2 linked regions of the Nothobranchius furzeri genome follow. The protein of the gene in region 1 interacts with the protein of each later gene in a biochemical or structural test. Links are inferred from orthologs where the notes say so. Each region holds a gene or a part of one and is shown on either strand. Other genes may lie near its edges. The genes, in order: mmp2 and metalloproteinase inhibitor 4.

Region 1 (3,817 bases):
CGGGGTTTAGTTCTGTGCTCCTTGTTTTTATTTTAGTTCAGTCCACTGGTTACCAACCTTCGGTTTTCAGTGTTGTATCTTTAGTTAATCTACAGTTCTGCTTCTCCCAGCGTCTTTGTGCTTTTCTGCCTAAGAGCCTGGTTAATGACTCACACCTGCCCATTGTTATCAGTATCATCACAGCTGTTTCCCTTGTCTTCGCTCCCCTCCTCAGTTCTACTTCAACCCGGCTCGGTCTCCGTTCCTACCTGTTGCACATGGTTCTGACCTTACTTATTTAAAATAAGAAGTCTCCTGGCTGCCACCCTGGCTCTCTACTTCATGTTGCATGTCCTCTAAACCATGCCCTGACATATTTTGTGCACAAGAAAATATCACTTGTTTTCTTATTTGTGCATTAACGCGTTAAACAGCTTGACAAGGCTGTGCATGGAAAAAGAAGCCCAACACAAAAACAAATCTAGATGATAAAGGTAGTAAGTAATCCAGCTGTGACATTTTCCTGATTTTAAATTTACAACAAAAAGTAAAAATGCAAGTTTGCTCAGTTCTTTTAGTTGTAACAATGGATCTTCCACCACACTTGAGTCACCTTTACAACAAGTTAGAAGTCAGGAGTGTGCATCTGCAGAAGGAGCAGCACGGATTCATGTTTGTGCAGCTCCCCCAACAAATGCACTGACATCCTCTCATGGTGGCATGCCCTCTTGCTCCAAGCTCCCGTTGCTGCCTGCAGTGTTCATCTGGTTGGCACCTACATGACAGCCACTGGGCATCTTGGATATTCTGCATGTGCTGGAGTTACCAACACCGACCTTCAACAACTACTAGTCAAAAAACTGGAAGATGTCCCACAACCAAACAGACTGCACAATATATCGTAAATATATCGTTATCGCGAAATCAGCATGCACAATATGGTAAACGGTAAATGGCCTCTATTTGATATAGCGCCTTCTAGAGTCATGGAACCCCCCAAGGCGCTTTACAACACAATCAGTCATTCACACATTCACACACTGATGGTGATGAGCTACGATGTAGCCACAGCTGCCCTGGGGTGCACAGACAGAGGCGAGGCTGCCGAGCACTGGCGCCACCAGTCCCTCCGACCACCACCAGCAGGCAACGTGGGTTAAGTGTCTTGCCCCAGGACACAACAACAGTGACAGACTGAGCGGGGCTCGAACCTGCAACCTTCCGATTATGGGCGAGCACTTAACTCCTGTGCCACCGTCGCCCCCCATAATATCGTAAATATATCGTTATCGCGACATCAGCATGCACAATATGCATATCGCAAAGAACAGATAAATTGCCACACATGATGCATTCTGTCAATCAAACGGAAGCATGATGTTTTTGAACAAATCAAATAGAGCTCTTCACCCATTTGGCCAATTGGTTGGGTTCTCATAGGTTAGAGGCCCGCCCCCGAGGCGGACGGCACTTAATTTAGATGGTTAGCAAACACCTGAGTTAGCTTTGCTCTGTTCTTTTTGCTTTTCCCGGGATCCACAGATCGCCTTTTCTCGTTCTTGTTTCTTGTGAGGAGCTCGGACATTCGGGAGGGACTCAGAGTAGAGCCGCTGCTCCTCCAGATCGAAAGGAGTCAGTTGAGGTGGTTTGGGCATCTGGTCAGGATGCCTCCTGGACGCCTCCCTGGGGAGGTGTTTCGGGCATGTCCTGCCAGCAGGAGGCCCCCGGGTCGACCCAGGACACGTTGGAGAGGTTACATCTCCAATCTGGTCCGGGAACGCCTTGGGGTCCTGCCGGAGGAGCTGGTGGAAGTGGCCGGGGAGAGGACGGTCTAGAGCTCCCTAGTTGGGATGCTGCCCCCGCGACCCGGACCCGGATAAGCGGACGAAGACAACGCCTTTCCCTTTCCTCACATCTTTTGCTTTTCTCATTTTTATGATTTTTTTATTTCTTTGTTTTTGATTATTTTTGTTCCTGGGTGAAGTTTTTATTTTTCGCAAGCAATATCATCATCGCAACATTAATCACTGCCCCAGTTACCAGCCTGGTGACCAGCATGAGTGGGAGGAGCTAAACTGTTGTGGTTGTGTTTGGCTCTTCCACAAGCCACTGACACCATCTACAGTGTAAGCGAATACCCGCAGATTTTGGTATTTTTAGTTGTTGATGTGCTACCCACACATGTGGTTGTGTTGCTCACGCCACAAATGTACAATCCTCACGGATTATTCCTCCTAATGAGCGTTTCAATGATGACATTTACAGCCACGCACCACTGTTGCAACAAAGCAATCTCTTCACTGTTGTGCAAGTTTTAGATGAAACATCTGTTTATTGCGTTTCCGTGTCAACGTCGTCACAAGAAAGTAAGAGAAAAGGCAGACCTTTTCTTTTTATGTGTCTTTCCAAATCCTCAACCCACTGACTCCTTCAAGGGAATTAAATAGCAGCTCAGCTTGATTTCTGACAACTGGGCCAAACCTTCATGGTCTGTGGAGCACTCTGAGCTCCCGAGCTGCTCTGCTGCTCACAGTGAATGTGTGGATAAGCCAGGTGAAAAGCACTTCTGCAGTAAAACAGGATTTGTGAGCAACAGTGTGGTTTGTGTTCCGCAGGTTTCACCTTGAGATAAACAGAACAGGACCCTGTGGTGCTTAGGTCTGCTGACGTATTTGCTCTGGACCTGTTTTTATGGTTTATGGGCACACAGACATGCAAACCTCAAAATGATAAAGAATCAATGTTTACATTTTAGCCTTCCAGCAGAAAAACGCACAAACTACACGGACTGTTGACCAAACCATCAGAGATCTCTTCTAGTGCACAACCCAAAAGCTCTGCATGAACTTGTGAGGCTCTGGGAGGACTGGCGCCAGTGGAGAGCAGGATTGTAGACTGTGTTTATGATTGATGACTATTTTGGTTGCCACTGCATAAGCAGAGGAATGGTTTGCCGATTGTCACATCCATTTAAAGCAACAGACTCTGGTGTGCAAAACAGTAATTAGGTTGTAAAAATCTGATCACTGTTTGTGTGTACAGTATAAAAGTGACCAGCATCCCTCTGAACTACTCAAGCAACCAAGTCACCAACGTGCATTACATTCATTTTTCTTTGAGGCAATTTTTCAGGTAAAACATAAAACTACCTGTCTTTGAAGAAAAAGGTTTCTCCCCTGATCTGTGCAACAGCATCAAAGATAACCGGCTCCCTGCAGATGTCCATTGGAGTGACGGGACCCTGGGTTGGAGATACCGGCTTGTCTGTTGGTACTCCTGTTGGTGAGCGGAGGGAAAAGTCACACATAACCGCCTGCTACTCTTAACTCTGCTCTAAAGACGAAAACACTTTTCTTTTGTTCTTCTCACCGTAGAGCTCTTGGATGCCCTGAACGTCGTCGTGAGAAAGTCTGAAGTCTTTGGTAAACGTGTAAATAGGAGCCATCAGTGCTCCGGGGTCCTGAGAGTGCTCCAAACCCAAAGCATGACCAAACTCATGGGCCGCCACCAGAAACAAACTGTAGCCTTAAGACAGAGCCAGACCAGCGGGAGCATGATTCATCTCGCTCTGCATTCACGGACAAACGAACTACCGCTGCTAGCACGGATTCTAATGGCTTCCTGCTTATTGGAGGTGCTTCTCTGTGTACTTGGTAGCTAATAAAACCCGCCCACACGTCTCGTACCTTGGTCAGGACAGAAGCCCCACTTGCGGTCGTCATCGTAGCTCTTGGTGGTGGCGCACCACATCTTCCCATCGCTGCGTCCAGAGGAGGTGCAGGAATCATAGCTGTCTCCCAGGAAGGTGAAAGGGAAGGCGCAGGGGCTTCCATCTGCA
Region 2 (4,456 bases), on another chromosome or scaffold:
TTTACAGTATAATAACAACATTTTACAAGCCATTTACAAGCTAACTGTCAGGTAAACCAGTGGCGTGTCCAGATCTTTTAAAATGGGGTGGCCCACGTGAGGCACTACTTTGTGCATGGGTGGCACCAATGGTTATGCATTTATTTTTTTATCCCAAGCCTTTTGTGGACAATGAAAAGCCTATTTAAAGGGAATTCAGTGTGGTGGCACCTGGGGTGGCCAATCAGATTCCAAGGGTGACATTTGCTACCCCAGACCACTCCGTGGACACGCCCCTGAGGTAAACATACAACAAGCAGTAAAATAACAACTTCCAGAGGTAGGGCGTCTCTTCAGGACAACAGCCCGTGACGTAGTAATCGGTCTGCACATTTCCCCAAAGAAGCACATATCGACGAGTAGCATGGATAGTCGGAACACCAGGAAGTTCCGGTAGTGGAAACACGCTGAATGTCACTTACATGTAGGCTTTGTAGTCTGCACCAATTTTCTGGACCCTGATGTCGTACTTGGCATCTACAAATGGTTCTGTTGTACAGTAGGTCTGAGTGATGGCTACAACACTCGCAATATCCTGGAAGTCACTCACATTATCCACTCGAACCTAAAGAAAAATGATATATAATTAAAAAAAGTACTCATTCATTGTAAAAAGAGTTTGGGAATGGTTTAAGACTATGCCACTGTTTTAGATGTAAAACTAGATTTTTAGTCACATTCCTTCCGCTAGTTTTTTCTTTACAAAATTTTAGTGATAGAAATTTTAAAGGGGACATATTATGCAAAACGTACATTTTTCATCCTTTTGTACGGCCATGTGGGTTTTTACTGCCACTATAAACAACCCAAGTATAAACAAAAAAATCTGTCCATCTGTTTTTTGTGTGGGGTTTGGTTTTAGGAAATATGTGCCTAAAACACACTGTTTCTAAAAGTCCCTGTTTGTGATGTCACAAATGAGGAAAGTAGAATAGAACCATCCCTCATGTGCGAGAGGGAGCTGCTGTCGGAGGAACAGAGGCTCTACTCTCAGCCCCTTGTAGGCATCAGAGCATAGTAGCCTGAGCGGAGGATTGGGGGGGGGGGGGGGGGGGGTGTCAGTTCCAGCCTGTTTTCTTAAAGCGACCAATCCCTGAAATGGCTCATTCAGGAAGGTTCTGAATCTGTCAAGAATAAAAAAGCTGACATTGCTTTATGCGAGAGGAACTTAGAGTAAAGAACTTTGATATCGACAATGGAACTATTATGAATTTAAAAAAGATCACTTTAAGGCTGCTTTCACTGCATGAAATGTTTATTAAACTAATCAGTTTTCCTGTAAATGTCAGTTTGTTCATGTTTTTGGATTGTAGTACCTTTCCCATTCCAGAGTGAGCATGCCCAATCTTCACCACTACCGGGAAACTCGGTGTTGTGATCTGCAAAACAAAAGAAAAAGACAAATGAGAAGCAGCAGAAACACAACAGATGCAAAGCACAAGATGTTCTAAAAACACCCTGCAGTGGAATTCAGAACCTGAGGCTACAAGCCTCATGTTTCCTGTCTGGAAGTCTTTGAAGACTAAATAGTTTGTAAAGACCCCCCCCCAAAAGTCTTTAAAGAAACAAAAAAATACAAATGTGCTGTAATAAGAAACAGGGGCTTTGTAATTCTTGCTAGCATTAAAACAAATGAATCAAAAGTATGGCGTTCAGATAAATACAATTACAGTTTTAATGTTTATAGGCTTTAATGCAAGATGAACCCTAAACCTGCAGAACAGATACGTCTTAGATGAGTTTATTGTGGCCGATAAGAGTTTTCTAGGGGAGAAGAGATGAAGAGTTTTAAAAGAGAGCTAAAGAAGGTGCCAGGTTTTTTCTCTGCATTTTAGGAGGCTGTGCTTAAATTGTTGAGCACATAAGAGGCTCCCTGTGTGCGACCCTCTCAGCATTCAAGGCCAGAGTGAGAGGGGATCTAACTATTGTAAGTCTCTGTGTGTTGTCTACAGAGAGGGGGAGACAGAAAGAAAGACAGGAGAAGAGAGCAGCAGCGGGAGCAGCAGCAGCCTTCAACTCGAGTTATTTGCTGCAGCTTGAATTCAGAGTTGTACTCTAAACTTATGAAAACATTTCTATCCACTGTCGCCTCTCAGCTCTGCAGAGCTCGCCCTGTCACTTCGGCCCCGTCGTCTCACCCTCCACACAGCCCCTCTGCAGACTATCGACCTGACTTGACTTCCATTAAACTTAACGGGAAGAGAAGAGGCTGCGGAGTGTTCATCAAGTGGAGAAGCGATCAGAGGTAGCCAGAGCTGTCATGGCCATGTCCCAGGAACGGAGCGTGCATCTGGGGCTGTGGATGCTCCTTTTGCTTGGAGCAGGCGTGGAGGAAGCTGTGGAGGGATGTAGCTGCCACCCAGCACACCCACAGCAGCTATTTTGCAGCGCTGAGATTGGTGAGTCATTCTCCAAAGATTCATTAACTTTTACTAACACTGCTGAGTATTTCCTCATTGTCTTAGTTAATTATCGTAAAACCGATTCTCTCATTGATTACTTTAATTCAGTCAATGGAGAGCAGAGGACCAATCCATAACAAGCACTAAGAAGAAATCCGCTGAGCTGAACTGTTGGGGGTTTTCATTCCTTGAAACTGTAGCTTTATGAAATTTAATCATAATTTATGGGTGTTCCTCAAATTACAGACTAGCAAGACTTATGAACAAACAGTTTGTGTGTCATTAGCTTTAAAAACAACCTCAATCTGTACAACACTGCCTACCAGAGTGCCCCCCCTCCCACCCCCCCCACCCAAAAACACTCCCATCCAGTTCTTTCTTGTTTGAGCCAAAACCAACACTCTGCTTTGACTCAGAGTACTTGGCTCTGGGTTGTGGAAAGCCAGAGTATCTGCTCCTGTCAGAGGTTACACTCCAGCAGGGGAGAAGGGGGCGGAGCCAAAAGAAAGAAATTACTTTTTCTCCATCTTGTTTTTTAATTGGTCTCCGTCTCCCTTTAGGTTTAGGTGGTACGCAATTTCAAAAGACTTTTAATAATGAGTCTGCATGGAATGGAAGACAGGGCCTGTTTTTCTACCACGAGGACTAAAGCCAAGTAAAATCTGGGCTAATGGGATGCAATGAGAGCCACAAACACATGAATTGTGTCATTCATGACTGAGACAAGCATGATTAATCTGAATTATATTATGAGCCTTGGTGTTTGGAGGTTATATTCTAATTTTTAGGCCTGCTTGAGTGAGATTAGATCAGTGACAAAACAACCTCAGAGAGCTTAGATACCATCAGGGTTTCATCACAATTGTGATTCTTGAGTATTGTGTCCAAACTGTCTTTAAAACAGTCATATGAACCATGAAAGCTCAGCCGTAACCTATTGACTCATTGAGTGCAGCTAAACAGATCTACATGTTATATTTATTGATGCTAAAGCTTTTAGTACACAGGAGTGAATGTATCTGAAATTATAGTTAGTGACACAAACAAAACGCAACAAGAATTGCTTTTTAGGAGAAAGAAACATTTGTGTAAAATTAAAATTAGACTGTTTGTTTACATCTTCTCCATGTATTCATGTTGCTGCGTGCACGTTTAAAGCTTCAAATTTATTTGAGATAAGAACAAGCACCAGTCACAAAAAATAAAATAGTATTAGCAAAGTTGTTTGATTCTAGCCTGCAGGTCAGGATGCTAACCACCCAGCTGCCAAAGATATGTGTTTTTTAACAAAGCAACATGGAATTTTGTAGTTTGATGGGTTACTGAAATTCAATTTACTGTTTCCATTGATTTCTGTCCTTATTTGAGTTACATATGACTGTTCTACTCAAATAATTAAAACAAACTGTTAAATAATGTTACACTTAAACCCTCCATCTTCCTCCATCCAATGCTTGGGTTGAAATAGTTGCACTTTTTCATTTTACAGCTTTGTTTGAGTTTTAAAAGGTGTTGAACACTTGTTTAATTAAAACATCTGCAGTGGGCTCTAGTAGGAATGAATGCCTTGGAAAGCCTGGTTTACGCTTCTCCGTCAGCTCCGCAAGGGACAGACACGCACGGATTGACGGAAGCGTTTTGCTCTCATACTTCTCCGTCTCCTGGAGAGTGTTGCAAAGCAATTGCCTGGCAGGACAACAGAGGGCGTAGCGCTGTTCTGTGGTATCCTGTCGTGTATCTGTCCAAGATCGTGTGTTTTTATTGTGTTTTTTGTGTATATAAGAGACTTTTAACACGGACATATTTGTCTCTCATTCTCCCACCGCTTCATGCACTCCCCACCTCTAAACCCACGTTTCCTGTCATTTAAATCCACAAATAAAATGCTTGCTGCGCATCTTTTCACTCATCCAGTCACTGGGGAATTAAACGTTCATATTTTTAGAGTTTTTTCGCGAGGTATTCTTCAAGCTTCTCCATGTCTGCCGCTAGTTATCCTCGGCTCTCTTTGCAAT

What was found.
Region 2: the proteins of mmp2 (region 1) and metalloproteinase inhibitor 4 form a complex in vitro, tested with the Homo sapiens proteins (2 studies listed by BioGRID). The link is inferred for Nothobranchius furzeri from reciprocal best matches to the Homo sapiens genes MMP2 and TIMP4.

What each region holds. Positions count from the first base shown.
Region 1 is NC_091749.1:73,111,709-73,115,525, reverse strand, and holds part of mmp2 (72 kDa type IV collagenase), read right to left. Parts: coding exon 3,666-3,817; intron 3,505-3,665; coding exon 3,349-3,504; intron 3,256-3,348; coding exon 3,129-3,255; intron 1-3,128.
Region 2 is NC_091743.1:63,394,112-63,398,567, reverse strand, and holds the start of metalloproteinase inhibitor 4, read left to right. Parts: upstream 1-1,649; 5' UTR 1,650-2,299; coding exon 2,300-2,438; intron 2,439-4,456. Other genes in the region: syn2b (synapsin-2b), read right to left, coding at 462-604, 1,356-1,418. UniProt on the Homo sapiens protein: Complexes with metalloproteinases (such as collagenases) and irreversibly inactivates them by binding to their catalytic zinc cofactor. Known to act on MMP-1, MMP-2, MMP-3, MMP-7 and MMP-9.